3 linked regions of the Drosophila melanogaster genome follow. The protein of the gene in region 1 interacts with the protein of each later gene in a pairwise test. Each region holds a gene or a part of one and is shown in the gene's direction. Other genes may lie near its edges. The genes, in order: ClpX, Lipt1 and CG32369.

What was found.
Region 2: the proteins of ClpX (region 1) and Lipt1 interact in a two-hybrid assay, tested with the Drosophila melanogaster proteins (one large-scale study listed by BioGRID).
Region 3: the proteins of ClpX (region 1) and CG32369 interact in a two-hybrid assay, tested with the Drosophila melanogaster proteins (one large-scale study listed by BioGRID).

The regions. Positions count from the first base shown.
Region 1 is NT_033777.3:19,897,410-19,905,984, reverse strand, and holds the start of ClpX (caseinolytic protease chaperone subunit), read left to right. Parts: upstream 1-2,295; 5' UTR 2,296-3,086; coding exon 3,087-3,144; intron 3,145-4,174; coding exon 4,175-5,553; intron 5,554-5,610; coding exon 5,611-5,760; intron 5,761-5,889; coding exon 5,890-6,111; intron 6,112-6,176; coding exon 6,177-6,371; coding exon of another isoform or gene 6,372-6,389; exon of another isoform or gene 6,390-6,657; coding exon 6,658-6,693; 3' UTR 6,694-6,832; exon of another isoform or gene 6,833-7,444; coding exon of another isoform or gene 7,445-7,510; intron 7,511-7,573; coding exon of another isoform or gene 7,574-7,732; intron 7,733-7,790; coding exon of another isoform or gene 7,791-8,240; intron 8,241-8,333; coding exon of another isoform or gene 8,334-8,575. Other genes in the region: RhoGAP92B (Rho GTPase activating protein at 92B), read right to left, coding at 98-354, 625-674; Surf6 (surfeit 6), read left to right, coding at 1,197-1,362, 1,417-2,225; CG4733 (uncharacterized protein), read right to left, coding at 7,445-7,510, 7,574-7,732, 7,791-8,240, 8,334-8,575.
Region 2 is NT_033778.4:16,195,102-16,200,551, forward strand, and holds Lipt1 (lipoyltransferase 1), read left to right. Parts: upstream 1-1,940; 5' UTR 1,941-2,226; coding exon of another isoform or gene 2,227-2,415; 5' UTR 2,416-2,679; coding exon 2,680-3,237; intron 3,238-3,383; coding exon 3,384-3,845; intron 3,846-3,905; coding exon 3,906-4,076; 3' UTR 4,077-4,277; downstream 4,278-5,450. Other genes in the region: caly (calypso), read right to left, coding at 1-556, 616-808; CG44242 (uncharacterized protein), read left to right, coding at 1,370-1,501, 1,591-1,701; CG42837 (uncharacterized protein), read left to right, coding at 2,227-2,415; Shark (SH2 ankyrin repeat kinase), read right to left, coding at 4,624-5,117, 5,177-5,450.
Region 3 is NT_037436.4:7,806,666-7,811,998, reverse strand, and holds the start of CG32369 (uncharacterized protein), read left to right. Parts: upstream 1-2,173; 5' UTR 2,174-3,002; intron 3,003-5,333.

The DNA.
Region 1 (8,575 bases):
CTTGATGAAGAACAAATTCTGTAACTTCCCCCTCTGGCGAATGACCGCCTACGCAACTGCCTGCCTCACTGGAAATCCCGGTTGCCCGATTACTAACCGCAATTGGCGAGGACCTTCTGCAGCGGCATGTCCTTGGGCAGCTCCTTGGCGGACTCGTCCAGAGCCTGGGCAATCTTGTAGTGACTGTTCTTCTTGGTCCGCTTGTCCTGCTCCTCGCTGCTCCCGCTTCCACTTCCGCCTCCGCCGCTCAGCGCCGGCAGCTTGCGGACGATCTTCTCGATGGTGTCCCGGTATCTGTCCACCTGCCGCTCGATCGCCTCCAGCTCCGAGTCCTTGCTGTCCGACTTGCTCGATCTGCGAATGCGAAAAGGACCATTTTGACACGGGTTTAGCACGGGTTAGGTCATCATCGGCAGTCCACTATTGTTACGGCTGTCATCGCGCTTTGTTATTGATGCAGTTGCTCTGTGGCTGCTTCTCTGCTGCTTTTGTTGTTGTTGCTGCTGCTGCTGTTGCTTCTTTCGTGATGAGGCAACACACACCTGTCTGTCCACCTGGAGCGCACTTACACAAACACACACCCACAGACATCCGACCGACAGACTGGCTGGCCTTTGAACTTACCTTGACAGATTTTCGGCTGCTATTTTGATTTTGGCAAACTGCCTCTTCATCTTGGCTGATTCGCTGGTGCCGCTCGCGTCTCCAACTTGAACTGAACTGCTGTGTGTTTGTTTGCGATGTGCAATTAGCTGGGCATTGAGTAAATACTTAAAACAGGCAAATTAGTCATTCTTCAACGATGTTTTACGGAAAAGTGAGGCGGGTGTGACCGCAGCGGGAGCGCTGGGAAATGACAAAAGGCTGGAGAGCGCCTTTTTCGAAAGTTCGTATTTGGTAACACTGTTTGATAAATGCCTGTTGAGATTTCTCAGAGCTTAGGCTAGAATTATGAATTTAAGCAATGGTTAATTAATGTTTATTAAATTTCAATCTCCTTTAATCTGAAACCATTGCTTAAATTCGCTGAATAGGGGAATACCCCTTACTACTTGTAGCGGTACCAGACATTTGCGCTAGGGTAACCACTGTCGAAAACACCCGAATTCTGTGGGGTCACACTGAACTCGACCGCCTTGCTTAGCTGCACGTGTGCGTGCGTAAATAATAGTTTTATTGTTATTTTACTCTCGAAAATGACCCAGGCGGAGATCGTGAAATGTCTGCGGGAGGAGTATGAAATCGAACACAACAAGGATCAGAAGCCGGAGAAGGAGGACCTGCCCGCCATCACCAAAAAGTTCTATCAGCGAGTCTTGGAACTGCTGACCATTCACAAAGTGCCCTACTCCAAACAAGAAGGTGAAACCATTAATGAAAAGCCTTAAATCTTTAACTTTATCGTATTTCCTACAGATGAGGAGACCTACGAAGAGTACCTGCTGTCGGACACGGAGGAATCGGGAAACAAGAAAAAGAAACAACAGGGAAAACTGAAAAACCAAGACTCCGACGACGAGGATGTAGAGGCACGCATTGCCTCCATCAAGAACAAGCTGCGCCAGAAAAAGGGACCCACAACGGAGCGACAGCAGAAGCGACGCGAATCTAAAAAGCTTAAACGCAGCAAGGGCGTCCAGAAACTGCTCCTCTCCTCGGCCAAAAACCTCAAAAACGAGAACGTCAAGCACCAGAAACTGAAGAATGGCGTGGTGAAATCAGAACAGGAGACGGAGGACAGCAAGGAACAGATCCAGCCGGTCAAGGTGCAACCGGTTTACAACCAGGAGGCCAAGATCGTCTACTCCAAGGTGGACTTTGCCGCCAATCCTGGAGGCAAAGCCAAGAAGTCTCACCAAAACCCCAAGGAGATTCTGAAGAAGCTGCGCGACACCAAGAAGCACCTAACCGAACTGCGCGAACAGGGCGAAACGGACAAGGCGGCGGAGATCCAGACGGACATCGCCTGGCGCAACGCATTCGACAAGGTCGAGGGCAAGAAGGTCAAGGACGACACCAAGCTGCTGCAAAAGGCCATCAAGAAGCGGCGCGTGGAGAAGAAGAAGTCCAAGACCAAGTGGACTGAACGCAAGCAGAAGGTGGAGCACGACAAGGAAAAGAGGCAAAAGAAGCGACAGGAGAACCTGGAGAAGCGCAGCAAGGACAAGAAGAACCGGAAACTAAAGACGGCCAGCAAGAGGGGTCGCATCATACCCGGCTATTAACTATGCTTACTATAGCCCTTAAGTGTAAAGTAGTGTAAATGTATGCCACGTTGAAATTCAACTCAGAATGCTTTAGAAAAAAAGTGATCTTTCTGAAATTTACGTTTTTATACTTTCGTGTTAGAAATTTACTTTTCCGGCCTCGACACAGTCAAAATTCCAGTAGACAGCTAAATTCCCAGTTCCAAGCCACACTATTTGGCTCCTCGTTTTTGTCCACTTTGTGTCACTTTGTGTTCCACTGTGCGTTGCGCGGCTTCACCAAAGATTGGCAAGAAGAAGAACGGCGAACAGCTGAGACCGATAACAACAATCGATTGATATCGTAATCGTTTAGTTGGATTGCTGCGATTTTTCCAGATTTTCCGAGTACTTACAAGAGACAAAAAGTGGATCAGATAATGCTGGAGACCCTAGAAATTTGTGGATCTTTTAATACAGTATAGTGACCGATTTGGCAAGAAGAAGCAGAGCGAGTGGGGCAGCCAAAACAACGAGAATCACACGCACGCACACAGCCACAAAAATTACGTGCAGAGCGCAATCTATTCCCCCCATTTTCCACCGAAAATACAGCAAGGCAGGCGGAAAATCATCCAAATTGCGACGCACTTTGGCGAGCGACGGATAACCAACAAGTGGATATAGAAAAGCAATCCCTGCAAAGCGAGGCATCCCCAGCAGAAGTCACAACAATAACTTTGCAGATCAGCAGAGCAAGAAGAAGAAGCGGCCGCCAGCTGAGTAGCAAATCGGTGCAAAGCAGGGGCGCAGGGGAATCCGAGTCCAGGAGCAACTGCAGCGGGCGCGGAGGAAGCGGTAGACGGAACAGAGGCACAGAGGCGGCGGGCAGCAGCCACCATGAGCATGGTGCGGCGGATTATCCTGCTGGGCCCCAAATACAGTGTGTGGGCAAAGGGTAAGTGCTGTGCCGTCTTGTTGTTGTGCTGCCAATCGCATACGTAACTGCGTCATTAGCCGTGAATCGACAACAACTGGCAATGGCAACTAAAAAACAGCCTGCAGTTTACCAATCTGCATCGTAATCCCAACGCTCCCCCCGCCATTTGGCTTATCAGAATTTTCTAGCTTCGGTGCTCGCTGACACTTGTCTAGTGTCAAACAACCAAAACACTGAATGAAGGTCGTCTTCTTTTGATACCAAAAAGCTGCTGCTCGCGGTCAACGGGCCACAGTGGCGTCGCTGAAAAGGGGTTTCACCCAACTGATTTTACATTCACGCACTCACACGCATCTGATTGGAGGCCACCCCCCTTGCCGTTTCCAATCAGACAAGCGTGGCTCTTGGACCAACTGAACTTGAATTGTTTTATAAGGCCCGAATGGCCAGTTAGCGCAATTACTGCTATTGCCGCTCTGACGCAATGATTTTTTGTTTTATCATTACATGTCTGCAGTGGAGCAATTTCTTACACTTTTTTAATGGCCCACAGTTGGTTATTATATTTGCTGGCCTGCAAGTTAGGAAAGCGAGAGCCGGAAGTTTACCCAACACATTTCACTGAAAAAAACTAGCCGAGATTGTTTTCTACTGTCAAATTCACAGCACCTGTGAATTCCGAGATTAGCCATTATCAATTCCCTGCTTGATTGGCACTACTGCGAAAAAAAGGTGCGAGTCATCTGCGATATCGGAAGATGCTAATTGCCCTTGGCCTCCACTTGTTAGTTTGTTTTTGTGGGCCAATCTAGAGACTCTGTTCCCCGGATTCCCTTTGTTGTTATCAATTGCCTGTGCTTCGGAAAGCATTAACCCCACACATGGGGTCGATGCTTCCATTTTGTCTGCTTTGTGCACGAGACACAATTTAAATCTTTAGAATCCATGCACAGTGGCTAAAGGTCTCAGATGACTTCCAATTTTTATTTAAATTTGTATGCCATTAAAAACAGTTTCCAATACTTATACATGTACTTTCCATATCCAGGAAGCGGAGCTGGTCAAACACATGGCTCGGCAAGATGCGTTATCCTAAGCGCAGGTTCTGCGGAGAACAGCGACTGTGGCGTACGACGCTTTCACCTGGCAACGCGGAACTGCGCGAGGAATCGACTGATGAGACTGGAGCCCGCGATGGCAATACCGGCGTATATTGATGTAACTAACGCACACTCAAGAACGCCAGAGGACTCCAGCGAGAGTGGGAGCGGCAGCGAAGGGGGAGCCAGTGCGTCGGGAGGTAGTGGAGCGAAGAGCCCCGGCGGTGCGGCTGGGTCTGGAGCAAGTTCGACCAGTGGTGCCGATCCGCCAGGCGGTGGCAGTGACAAGTTCCTCTCGTGCCCAAAGTGCGGCAGCGCCTGCACCCAGGTTGAGACCTTTGTCAGCTCGACGCGGTTCGTTAAGTGCGCCAAGTGCAACTACTTCTTCGTGGTGCTCTCGGAGGTGGAGACTAAGCAGCGCACCAAGGACGAGCCCAAAAACCAGCGCAAGCCGCCACCTCCGCCACAGAAAATCATGGAGTATCTGGACAAACACGTGGTGGGCCAAGATTTTGCCAAAAAGGTGCTGGCGGTGGCCGTCTACAATCATTATAAGCGCATCCATCACAATCTGCCGCAACTGCAAAACCAGGGAGCGGGTGCCAGCAATGGAGCCGGTGGCGGCCTAGATGGTATTCCTCGGCCCGATCTTCTACACATCACCGGTATTGGTCACACGCTGAACAGCTCCCCGGGCAACGAACTGCCACCAAAGTCGCCGACTCAAATGGGCATGGGCGGAGGAATGGGAGGACCTGGACTTGGAGCAGGACTAACCGGCGCATCATCTAGCAATGCGCGTGGAGGTGGCGACAACCGGTCCGGATCAGAAATACTTGACCGCCAGTCCACCGATGTCAAACTGGAGAAGAGTAACATTATCATGTTGGGCCCCACGGGATCCGGTAAGACGCTGATCGCCCAGACGATCGCCAAGTGCCTGGATGTGCCCTTCGCCATTTGCGACTGCACCACGTTAACACAGGCGGGCTATGTGGGCGAGGACATCGAAAGCGTAATTTCAAAGCTTCTGCAAGATGCCAACTACAATGTAGAGCGCGCACAGACGGGCATTGTTTTCCTCGACGAGGTGGACAAAATCGGTGCCGTCCCCGGAATCCATCAGCTTCGTGACGTTGGCGGCGAGGGCGTCCAGCAAGGCATGCTGAAAATGCTCGAAGGCACAGTGGTCAACGTGCCGGAGCGTAACTCCCCGCGAAAGCTGCGTGGCGAAACGGTCCAGGTGGACACCACAAATATCCTTTTCGTGGCCTCTGGTGCCTACACAGGACTGGACAGGCTTATCGCACGTCGTCTCAACGAAAAGGTAAGTTAGCGATAGTTACTCAGACTTCGCTTACTAATTGCATCTTAATGCTTCAAGTATTTGGGTTTCGGCATGCCATCGACCAGCGGATCTGGCCGTCGTGCAGCTCAATCAGCCGCCAGTCCCATGGACAACGACCAGGAAGAGCGTGATAAATGCCTGACCAAAGTGCAGGCCCGTGATCTCGTTGAGTTCGGCATGATACCGGTAAGTAATCGGAGGTTCAAATATAACTCCGTAGACATACATTGTAACTATTAACATAATTATAAGCTAGCAGATTTTATTATATTAGTTACTCATTTTGATTATTTTAAAACCCAAATTGTTGTGCAGGAATTCGTTGGACGTTTCCCGGTTATCGTTCCCTTCCACAGTTTGAACGTTAGCATGCTGGTGCGCATCCTAACCGAGCCGCGAAACGCTCTAGTGCCGCAATATAAGGCACTGTTGGGTCTTGATGAGGTGGACCTTACGTTCACCGAGGATGCTGTGAAGTCGATAGCCCAGCTTGCAATGGAAAGGCACACTGGAGCTCGTGGACTGCGCTCTATAATGGTAAGATATTGAATTTGTGAGACACATATGGCATATACCTAAAACATGTTTATAATCCCATCCAGGAACAACTGCTGCTGGATCCCATGTTCATAGTGCCTGGTTCAGACATTCGGGGTGTTCACATAACCGCCGACTATGTTAAAGGCAGCGCCACCCCCGAGTACAGCCGCGATGCAGACGCCGCGGCATCTGGGACTGTTGCCACGGATTCCGATACCACAACCGATAATGATAAGAACTTTGAGAATAGTGAGAAAGTACGACTAAAACAGTAAATCAAACAGAGATACCCACATCCAAAGCCAACCAAAACAGAAATCGAGACAACACTTGAACAAAAGAGAAAACTTTCAATTCGCAACGCTTTCCGAATTGCTTGTTCTTTGCAAACTCTTTTGTCTTCTATCCACTACTGTTCAGCTTGTTAAACTCGTCCAGCTGCTTAATTTCGAATCGTCAGCGCTAATTTCTCGCATAAACACAATTTAATGTTGAACCCTTATGATACTTTCATTTGCCCACTCTAACATGTATATTTTTTAGTCTGGTTTGAATGGTAAATTGATTGGTGCGTCGTAGATCCCTACCTCGAACCTATCACTCTGTAAAATATGAACCGCTGAGGAGTGTATACATTTATAAAGAATGTCCTCAATCCCCAAATGCATCTGTGATTCATAAACGACGAGCAGCGCAGTCTTTTGAGCCCGAAGCAATTGTAAGTGGAACAACAAATCCTAAAGGGATATTTAAATAAATGCCACAGTTTCTTAAACATTATATTACACAAATATCGGAAATCTGCAATGTTGGCAATGATGTGGTCCATTGGCGCTAGGAACCTCTTTTGCATATAACAATTATATATACAAACGTAAACGTATATTTAGGCAAATTTTTGCATAGTCTAAATTGAGTTTCTAAATGAGTTCTTGTAGCGTTGTAAAGATGACAAGCGAGAAGCACGTTCTACCTTTAACTAATTTAAGTTGAAAAAAACATTTTTAAAACAAAAAACAAATAAAAAAAAATGAAAAAATTTAAAGCTGGATGCTAATTTTCTTGAGAAATCGATATGCTTTTTGTACGCCAAGGGTTACTAATGTAAATAACATGGCAAATTTAAATTTTTAGTTTTCGTTCATTTTATTTTATTCATCATTCAAATTCAACTAAGTCTGCAGAACTCATAATAAATAATTTGAATTTATTGCACATAATGGACTAATGGTAGTTCCTTCTTTTTGTTTGTTTTTACGTTTCCTTTTCATCTCGTAGTATATAAATTTGTATAAAAATTTGTAAGTTAATAAATATCTTTTGGCGACCCTTAATCGTTTTCCTCGGATATGAGCAGTTCGTATTCCTGTGCCGCAAACCGATCCCAATCGGAGGTCTGCGAAATAGATAATAACATAATTAATAATTATATTAATTAATTATTCTAAGTACCACTTACATATTCGTCACGCTGTGAGGCAAACGGATCTCGTTGTTCGTGATCTAGATACTTCTCCAGATTGAAGAAGGTATCGAAGAAGACGTGCGTCATTTTGCATCGTTTCAAATCGCCCAGCGTGATACAGTCCCGATTTGCTGGCTTGATCATATCTAGCATCTAATATAAAAAAATTAGATTATCTTCCTTCAATCGGAATTGAATATCCGATCCTCACCTGGCACAGGCAGTCCTCGAAAGGCAGGCACTCAATGCCGATTCCCTCCATCCTTTGCTGCTGCTCCTCGTAGAAGTATTCCAGTTCGTACATGGACAGCACTCCATCTCCGTCGACGTCCATACATCTAAACCAGTACTCGATGGCCGTCGGCGTCCGTTTGTCCTCCTCCGAGAGGATGAACCACACAAAGTCCGTGTAGGACATCTTGGCTTCATCTTCCGGCGCCTTTTTGTTATCGCTGCGCGTTACACATCCCGAGAAGATTCGCTCCACGATGCGCGATGACAGGGCATGATCGCTGTGCTTGGCCAGATCCTCCTGGTTGATCAGCAGGTCGTGGTCCTTGTCCAGTTCCCAAAACTTGCAGTAAATCACGTAGAAGTGCTCGTAGCTAAAGAAGGCCATTATCTGATTGATGTCCTCTTCTTCCTCCAGCAGACTGATCATCTGTGGGCGGGTTTCCAAATGTACATTATGTATTTCACAACAACATTGTTATATTTATATTTTTCAGATATATCATTGATATACTTTTCTCACCTCCAGCAGATCGGATCGTTTTAGTTCGGCTATTGTGATCTTGCCGCTCCAACTGCGGTTTACCGAATAGAAAATGCGCGCGATGACTGTGTGCACGTATCTGGAATGGAACTCGGTGGCTTCCTTGAGAAAGGCCAGGCCGGGGTGTGTGTCGACCACATCCTGCACCATGGGCACCAGGTCCTCGGGCACGATGTACGAACGGAATCTCTGGCCACGCGACAGAATGTACACGAATCTCG
Region 2 (5,450 bases), on another chromosome or scaffold:
AACTTATCTGTCCAATCCTCGCTATCCTCCCAACCGCCGTGATTCATGGGATACGGTTTCAAGCCATCCAGCTCAAACAGTTGTCCATTGATAGGCACAAAGCTAACGAAGTGAAACGCCTCACCCGTGAAGCGGCAACTTGAGACGCCCGCTCCCGTCCTTTCTAGACGGCGCCGAGCCTGCGGCATTGCGTGTGAGTTATGGGCACAGGCCAGCTCCGGAGTGTTGCCAATAGCCAGCCCCTTGTTCTCCGGACTCATGCCTTTGGTGTGGGTTTTTAGTCGACTCAGGGTGTCGCCCAGCTGAAGATTGTTCTCGTTGCAGTTCAGGAGCACCGAAAGCAACGCGTGTGTGGCACAGCTATTGGGGACTACCTGCTGGGCGAAGAAAATGCTGGAAATGGCCTCCTCATCCTTGACGAATATCTCAGCAGTTGTCTCCACAATTTTGCGTCTGGCGCGTCGCTCTTCGATCCAGCGGAAGAGAAATATGAAGCCATATGGACTCTCGATGGGTTTCTGTAGGTCGTACACCTCCTCCACCTGTACATCGTGACCTAAGGATAGTACATATTTTAATAGGATGTGTGGAACAAGGCATATTCAAATAGATTACATCCAAAATCCTTGAGAAGCAGTGTGAAGAGACCTGGGTCGGACTCCAGCTCCAACCAACCGTCTGCCAGTTGGGCCATAGGCATGGTGGTGGCTCCTGAGGCCGTGGAAAGTAGCGCATTGTGGCTGAGACTGTTGTTGCCTGCCGCCACTGCGGCCGCCTGGGCACCACTACCTCCTCCAGCAGCGTTCATATTTGTATGGCTTATACAATTGCTGCGAAAGTATCCGAGATGTTACTTTAATTTCGTTTTTCTGCACAGAGAAGGATATACACATGAAAATCTATCAAAGGAATGTTTACGTATAAGTTTATTTGTCATTAATATAATAAACAAATGAAATAGTTACCGGTTATACTCATAAAAACGTCTTCAATAGTTTGTTTTCATATGACATTTATTGTTGCATAGAGCATAAGTACGTTGGTTTGCTAGTTTTAGGAGCAATCCATATACTGGCGATGTCCGTCCAGAAGTTAGGGCCGTCGGCTGCCGGTTATCTTCTGTCCCCAATTCATTTTAAATATAAAAATATTACCGATTTGGACCAAAATAGTTTTTTGCGCTTCCTCTTATCTGCCTTAGCCATTCACAGGATCACGTAAATTTCAATAACGATAATAATCCATTGCGCGGCGAATGGCATGCAATTTTAACGATCTGGCAGCGCTTGTATGAGTTTACAGTCAGCTGTTATTCACGTAACTTTTACTTTTGCCTTGGCTTTTTGGTAGAAATTCAATTGCTGTTGCTATGGTTCGACCAACACTAGTTGCGCTGGCTAAGCGCGTACCGCTCATACACTTCCGCAAGGGTGGTGCAGGAGTGCCGGGCGCCCAGACAGCAAACCAGAAGGCAAGTTCCCAGGCCGCAGGAGGCAAAAAGGTTAACCCAGCCCATTTCATTTATACACAATACCACGGCTTCTTCTGTGCATCATAACTAATCTTCGTAATTGTCCCTTCTACATTTAGTTGGCCGGTGGACCAGCAATTGAGGACTACGAGCTGCCGGCACGATTTGCCCGCAAGCCAATTGATCCCGAAGAGGCGGCTTACATTAATAATGGGGGTATTCCAAACTGAAGGGGCTCTCAAAGTATGCTGCTTATAAAATATAACACATATTAATGTCACATCTGTTGTAGACGTCTCGGATTATCACACATGTTTAGCGTAAATTATACAAGTTCGAATTAAAAAGATGAAAATAAATTAAGTGCGGCGCCAGAGTGCCGTTGTTTTTTTTTTTTTTTAATGACCGGAGCTTTCGTCGTTCGCTGCGAATGGCATTTGGGGACCGTCGAGGAAGAACAAGAGCAGCGAGCACCACTGCTCATCTGAAACGAAAGCCAATCGGTCGTGATATTTCCACACGCGCAGCTGCTTTTCGATCGGCTCTGTGTTCGTTCGTTTGTTTGTGCTATAACTGCTACCCCCGCCCACTGCGATCATCCGCCTTGCCCCCGCCCCCCGCAGTTCCCGTGCGCCGCGAACAAAGAGTGGAAAATTTTGGTGTCAGCTAAAAAGGAAACCCTTTAGCCATCTTATTTGGGCCCCGTAACGTTGCGGCCCCCCGTAAACACCGGATTCGTTGTATCCCCCACCTGGATGGGTGTGAGGCGTAGTATGCCAGTGAACTGTGCCAACAAGGACTGCCTGGGTCTCCGTAAGCGTGTCTGTGGTCTGCATCAAACGTGGAAGTGGCTGCATCAGACGCCCGCCCTGCACGAATACCTCATCTCGGCCAGCTCCGTGGCTGCAAACACATCCCGAGCCACTAAGAACGCCACAGTCTAAAGTCCAGAGCGACCAAAGCCATTTAAAGACCAAAACGAATAGCGTAGATAGTAGACCATACATAACCTAAAGAAGAGCACACACGGACCACACAGAACCAGGCAGACGACAACCGTAGAAACCAACCAACCAACCAACCAATCAACCAGCCAAAAGCTTTTTTCGACACCATTGACCTTGTTTCGCTTGCAAGTGCATTGTGTCCCAGATCACCTGGCAACAGAAATCACACACACCCGTACGCCCCACTTCCTTGTGTAAGCCATGAGCATGCTGTTGCGACGCAATTCCAGCCAGCTGCGGCTACTTCTCTCCTCCGCCGCTCAGGCCACGCGCCTGGCATCCAGCGGAGTGGAGCCACCATCTGCTGGACAGCAGGAGATTAAAAAGCAGAGGCGCCAGCCACCGCCCGTGGTTCCCGATTCGGAGATCAAGAAGTCCGTGTTCATCTCGCAGTCCAGCGATGTGTTCACCAACCTCGCTCTAGAGGATTGGCTGTACAAAAACTTTGATTTCAGCCGCCACCATGTGCTGCTGCTGTGGGCCAACGACCCGTGCGTAGTCATTGGTCGCCACCAGAATCCCTTCACCGAGGCTAATGTTTCGCAGCTGGTGGAACGCGGCATAACACTTGCACGCCGCAATAGTGGCGGTGGAGCGGTGTACCATGATCTTGGGAACCTCAACTGCACCTTTTTCTCGCCCAGAGAGCGCTACGATCGCAAGTACAACCTGAACATCGTGACCAGGGCCTTGTTCCGCGAATGGGCCATCAAGGCAGAGATAAATGAGCGCGACGACATTGTAGTGATGAATAAGAAGGTGAGGAGGAGCGGTGGCTCTTATCAAGGAATGATGCGACCCCGGCTGATCCCTCACATTGGCATCAGCTCACTTAACCAACAGCTGGGGCTGTGCATCTGGTCTTTATTTGCCCACTCAACGAGTATGCCCTTGTTCAATTACAGATTTCCGGCACTGCGGCCAAGCTGGGACACCCGAACTCGTACCATCACTGCACCATTTTGGCCAGCGCCAACAAATTGCACTTGGGCGAATCTCTGGTGCGGGAGCCGGCCAATTATATTAGCAAGGCCACGGCTTCGGTGCCGTCGCCCATTCGCAACCTGGTTGATGTCAATCGCACGGTGAACGTTGCTCAGCTGCGTTCCGCCGTGGGTTACGAGTATTTGAGAACGGCTGCAACTACGCTTGAAGACGGCGGCAGCACACAGACGATGCAGCAGCGCGGCTTTCAGCTGGTCAATCCCACAGAGAAATGGTTCCCCGGCATTGAGGAATTGCGCTCCAACTACAGCTCTTGGGACTGGGTCATCGGCAAGACTCCCAAGTTCACCGTGCAGAAGGAACTGGAGGTGAAGGGCGATGAGCAGGACATGAAACTGAAACTAAGCGTGGAAGTGGAAGCGGTAAGATTTGTTTTGCCCTGTTTTAGAGAATTATCACTTATGATTTTACTAAATTTGTAGGGATTAATGAAGGAGATCGGCATCCAGCTGCCGCAGAGCGATCAGCTCGTCCCGGTGGTGACTCCGCTCCAGGGCAAGCCCTACAACGAGGAGAACCTGAACGGAATACTTGGCGCCCTTAAGCTCGTCAGCGCATCGAATGTGAAGCAGGCAATAAACGGATCAGCTTGATTACTGTTGTGCTAGCTCGAAAAAATTAACAAAAAAATATATAATCCATTTCTAGAGCACTAACCACGCTAACGTAGTTATAATCTTTCCAAGAAACCATATTACTAACCTAGTATTTAAGCGGTTTACCAACAAACTATTTACTTTTGTTACCACGTTTTATATAAAAGAACTGCATTAAATGTTTAAACATTGATTATTAAAGCATACTGCTGTATTATTTAATACTAAATCAAAAAGCGCAGTATGTATAAAAATAGTTTTTATTTTGTATAACCAATGAAACAAAATGGATTTGTAAAAATGAATACAAAGCTTATATGCTAAATCTTTAAGGCACTTGTTCGCTTTCTTTTGACACAAATTGGTTGTACATATGATTAAAAAATATATTACAAGCTATAAACATGAATACTAGGATACGGAACAACAATAGTGATCTGTGGGTTCCAGATCGTTAATACGTTGAAAACGAAATAGAAGACATTGCATAAATAGCTACAGAAAATTGCACTCAGAACGGAAAAAATGGAAAATGGAAACTGGCTTAAATGTGAACCGTTTGCACCAATTCCGGCAGGTTTTGGTAATCAGGATCGCGGGCGAAAAACTCGGTGAGATAGACAAAGGTTGGCCGATCTTTGGGTCGTTCCTTCCAGCAGCTCTGCATCACGGCATAGATGTAAGCTGGACAGAGATTGGGCTGCGGCAGGCGTTCGCCACTGTCCACCAACTTGATGGCATCGACATTAGATATTTCCCCATATGGCGGTGCGCCGAGGGAAAACATCTCCCAGATGGTCACGCCAAAGGACCACACATCACTGGCGTGCGAGAAGATGCCCAGGTTGAAGCTTTCCGGTGCGTACCAGCGGATGGGCCAACGTCCGCCCTGGGTGAATTGGTATTCCGTGCTACCGGGTCTCAGTGATCGCGACATGCCGAAGTCACTGATCTTCGCCTGGTGGCGTGCGGTCAGCAATATATTTCTGGCGGCCAGATCGCGGTGTACAAAATGCTGTGATTCCAGATAATGCATGCCTGGTACAAACATTAATTAATTAATTGAATTGAATCAAATTGTCTTGAATTTGACTTACCACACGCAATCTGTGACGCCCAAACTTTCAGCTCCGCATTGGCCGTGATCTCATGACCATGATCCAGTATGTACTGCAGCATGGAGCCCAACGGAGCTAGCTCTTGAACCATCATTAGCATTTCACCCTTCGCAATGCCAATCAATCGCACAATGCACTTGTGCTCCAGCCGCATCATAACTGATGCTTCGCGCAGGAACTCCTGTTTGTTGCTGTGCTCGTCGCTAAGCATCTTAATGGCCACCTCCAAGCGCGATTCCTCGCCGGCACCGCT
Region 3 (5,333 bases), on another chromosome or scaffold:
CAAGGCGAATAATTATGTTTTACGAAAACTGCAAGAAAGAACAAACAATAAAGGTTTAGATACAAATTTTGAAACGATAAATGCAAAAAAAAAAATGATAAAAACTGTTTCATTTTTCTGTGGATTTTGTGGTATACCATTAGGCGAGTTTTTTCCTCTGAACGAATAGCCAACTTCGGGGCAGCATTGTCAAAACAGAGTGGTTGGCCTTCAAAGCAGCTGGAATACACAGTTTTGAGTAACTGGAGGTCAAGTTGATTGCATAATTGGTGAGTGGAGAGAGGATCTGAAAATGGTAACTGGATATGAGATAAGCTGTTAAAACTGTTGGGTGCAGTTGACATGTCGCTAAATAAAGCTGCCGGAAACTCAAGAACTGAAATGACGAACTTCAAGTTCGGATAAAATGCGCATTCTAAAACAATGTATACCATTCAACATTTAATCTGTGGAAAAACTTCCATGGATTCCAATCATAAGACAAATTCTCACTTCCACTTGGCAACAAACGAAACTCGCCCGACTTCAATTAACATTCACTAAAACAACGAAAAAAAATAAATAATTTGTTTGTCAGCTTCACACACCTATTTCAAATTCAGCTGAACCAAAGCCCAAATCGGTGATATACACTATTATGCAAAAAACATAATAAAGCAAAAAAAAAAAACTGAAACTAATTTCCTCATATATTGCTTACAAAATAAACATTTCAAACATGAAACTCGCAGCTAATTTCCGTTGATGAACAACAAAAGCAGCGCCAACTATTTGAGAAATGGGAGCTGTATAACCGGTACACAGTCAAAATTTAATTATATAATTGTACATGGTATTAAAATATATGGTACTACTAAAATAACGTTAATTGCTAAACAATTAAAGATTATTGAGATTCTACAACTCAGAAATTTGAAAATATATATTAGAATAAATTTTGTTAATTTTAATATGTTTTAATCTGTAAACTTTCAAGCTTTGTTTTTTTTTTGAATGCAGGCTTAAACCAGACCCAGACCTGAGGCAAAGCAATTCGATTACTTCCCTATGGGGAAATGTTGCAATAAATGCGAGCAATGCTCAAACATAAGCGGACTCCACTCGCCCGCCCCGCATATTTTTATACTGTCCAAGACTTACGAAAGCGAAAAATGAGTTAACAACAACGGCCACTCAAAATGTTAATGGAAACGCAGCAGCAGCAGCAGCAGCAGCAGCATGAAAACTGGTAGTATGCAGGCAACCGCTAACAGACAACGTTGAACTTGAGCTTGAAATACAAGCCAAGCGGAGCCAAAAGAGAAAGACGGGAAGTAGGGGGAGGGGAAGCGATACGCGGTTGTTATAAGCCAAGTTTGTCGACAACTGCATTTGTTGATCAACCCAAATGAGGTCAACGCGTCGTATACGTAATTTGCGTTAAATGACAAAACAATATGTAATAGCCACACAACACTTACGAAACGCAGATATTCGATATTACAGACGAACTTTAACAACTCTGAGCTCTATCGGGATAGGAAATCTATAGCTTCAAAACCTGTTTAAGGATTATAAAATTAATACATCTTGTAATGACATGTCTGAGAATTAATCAACTTATATTTTCACAGTTTAATCTATTGTGTATTTTGTTATACAAATTTCGTTATTAATTTTATAAGTTATTTGAGTAAGCTTTTATTCTATTTTACATAATCTAAAAACTATATTTGCGTATTAAACAAAATTACAAAATTTTATATATGTAATTTAGTTTAAGTAACAGAAAATCGACCGTATCTGTTGTGATTATTGATGTTTGCTTGGTGTTTATATGGCTGTAGTCTGTTGAGTGGCGCCGGAAATGCGCATCATACGATAAATGACGCCCACTGGCAAACTAGCACCCCCAACACCACCCACTATCCCCCAACCCAATAGTTTTGCAAATCACCCACCGCAGCCCCCGCTGCCCCATCATTTTTCTTGGCGTCGCCTGTTGTGACAGTTGACGGTTTGCCGGCAAAAATTAAAAAAAAAAATAAAATGCCAGAGAGAGAAGTGCTAAACAAAGAGAGCTCAAGGCACAGACATCGATGACGCAACAGACACATCCACGGAGGCGTAAGAGAGTCGACCCCAAAAGAGAGCGCCAATTTTTCGCTCCAAGCCAACGACTGACTTTTCACAGCAGTCATTCGCTGTTGAACAGCGGCCGTGGCAAGTTCAGACAGCAGGGAGAGTTTGAAAAAAAAAACCAGGCCGTAATACAAATACAAAAAGCAAAATAATAAAAATTATACAAAAAAAAAGTATGAATAATAAAAAAGGCAAATAAAAAAGCAACAAAGTGGAGCGCACCCCATAAGCAAATCATCGCCGAGCCACTCGAACACGTTGCCGCCGTTGCTGCTGTTGTCGCTATTTCTTTCGCCCAGTGCGTTCGCTCTCTCTCTTTCTGTCTCGTCGCGTAACGTAAGCGTATTACAAAACAAACGCCAACGTAATCAAAGAAATAAATAAAATAAAATAAAGGTGCTCGCTCGCGTGTTTCTCGGTGTGAATAAATGAAATAAATAAATTAGTCACAAAATATAAAAAGGGGGTCCAAGTGCAGCCCCCCCCAAATTGCCGCACACCCTTTACGAGAAAGAAAGAAAAAAAGTTAACCCGTGTGTGCGGCGGGGTTACGTAAAGCCGACGGACAAGCGCCGTTCCAAGTTCTTACAAAACAAAAAAAAAAATATATATAAATATCAAACAACACATAACACGAGTGAATAGATTCCCCAATTCGATTTTTTCGCACGCGTGTGGCTATAAATTTTTGGCAAACAAAAATATATACAACTAAATACAACAACAAAATTTTAAATAAATTGCAAGAAGAAGAGGGAGAATTTCGTGTGTTAGTGTGTGTGTCTGTGTGTGATTCTTGAGCAACAGTACACGCCGCACCCCCCGCGAAAAACCTACCCTTTTTTGGGGAAAAACAAGGAGGCGCGGTTCAACAGCGACAGGTAATTCCATTTCTGCGCTCTCTTTGCCACTCTTTCGGGTTCTCTTTGTGTGTGTTACGACATCAAACCACATGCTATGCCTCTGTTTTCAATGTGAATGAACGCTCGACAAAGTTGCGTTTTCAAAGATTGGCACATTCAAGTCTCTCTCTTAGTTTTTCGCTCTTTGTCGGGGAAAACAGTTTTTCATTTGCTATCTGCAATGATTGTGAAAACAAAAAGTGCACTGCTTGAGTCTAGCGGAGGGAAAACTGCAGGGGCGGCTCTTACGTGTTGCCATATTTTTAAAGGCATTACTAAGCGTTTTTTCCGCGCTGCTTTGTTGACGTTCTGTGGCCAATTGAATTCGGCCTGCACTTGATAATCATTTATATTTAATGTGTGATAAAACTTCCGTGGAAAAATATATATCTTAACGATTTCGCGATAAATTAGCTCAGATAAGCAAAAAACAAATGGTGGAAAGAACGATTTGGGAATTTTAAAAGAAGTAAAATTAAGAAAATAAACAATTCAACCTCGTTAAATTATAGTTGACACAAATTTTATATACAAAGTTAAAGTATATAAAATATAACTGGTAAAAAAAAACGTCAGTTTTTTTCATTTTCATTTCATTCATTTTCCTTGAATCTGTCGCGTTGTCATCGCTTTCGTAATTCTCTGGTTAACAGTTTCCAATCCCCGATAATCTACTAAAGATTCGCCAATTTGTCGGGGTCACCACCCAATATTCGTCAGCTACCAAAGCGAGAAACTGGGCTCCTTCCCTCTCCCCCCCTCGACCGCATATGCCCCTCTCACTCGGTTGACGTTTAGCGTTACGACACGCAATGTACTACGAGTATTATGCGACGTTTGCTGCCAATGAACAAGCCGCAACAACACAGTTCGCCCACTTGGCCCAAAACGAAAAACGCCAAAGGGGTTGGGGAAATGCTGAAAAAATATGGTTAGCTCGAAAAGAGGAAAAACCTATTTGCATACGTCATCGGGCGAAAAAGGTTCGTCATGACTCAGAGTCGAATATCGAGGAAGCCAGACTTCAAACAGCTGGATCGTTGTTATATAAACCAAGTCAAACACTACACCGAACTTATGTAAGGCCCAAAGGGACCGGGCCAATTAGTCACAGCGAATGTGGGGGTTCTTGTGTAATCGGTGTGAAATCAAAACCGAAAACCTGAAAAATCACAAACTATGTAGAAATTTTTGGTTGCTAATTGGCTTGCCTCAATAAATTCTTCAGCCCAGTTTCTTTTGTAGTTATTTTGAGCTATTTATATCAGCGTTTATCGCCGTCGTCATTGTCGTCCATTCGAATACAATGTCATAAAACGTGTGAGCCAAGCAAAAAACGGCAAGACAAATGAGAAACCAATAAAACAAATATCAAAGAAGAAATCAAAATGTACAAAACCAAATAAACGCCAACATTAAGGCAATGAAAATGTATGCGATTTCATAATTACGTCGAAAACTACCATCGGAGCATAATCACTTGGTTATGCAATTTATTGGCTTATGTGGCGTGATTACTTGGCGATTAAAGAACTCTATCAGAAGTTCTTGGGATTTTAGGAAATTGGTGAAAGACTTAAACAACTTTGTAGGAATTTCCACACCTGAGCTGTTGCTCATATCGTATTTGGGTACATGAATGTTCATGAAGATGAATCATTTGTTGACTCATTTTCATAAGATAGCAATTTCATAGTTGATACAGAACAACTGTCGTTTTCAATCAGTTCTTTACAAGCAAGCAAATAGTAATTATTTCAACAATCGCTCAATGAGTTTATCACATTTAGTGCTGTAAGTTCCTTTATCGACTTCAATCACTGCGCGCCTACAATCACTTATCGGACTTAAGGCAAACAATGCCTGAATTCAGTTGACTTAGAATACTGACAAACGCCGTTGTAAATGTAGCTATATACACATATTATATGTCAACGCTGCCATTTTGTCTGAGTGACGACGGACAACGGTTGTTTGTATCTACGATTGACATTGCATAATATTGTGAAAAATAAAGCAATCTACGCTATAAGCTATTGCCCTGAGGGCGTGTTCAGGTAGCCGGGCTTCACATATTTGTTATTCACTTAGGAACAATTTATCGGATACGGATTATGCAATAGGACTTTACGTACACGGAACTGCAACCACGATTGCACCAGGATGCACGTGCAGTTATATGAGGCGTATACATAATTTTTACTTACGCAAAGCCGAGCGGCAACAGGAACAATTAGAATCGAGTGCCTTCTGGCTTGTTTACCAACTTTTCCCTTGTCCAATACAATGTTTCACAATGCCAGCTGATAT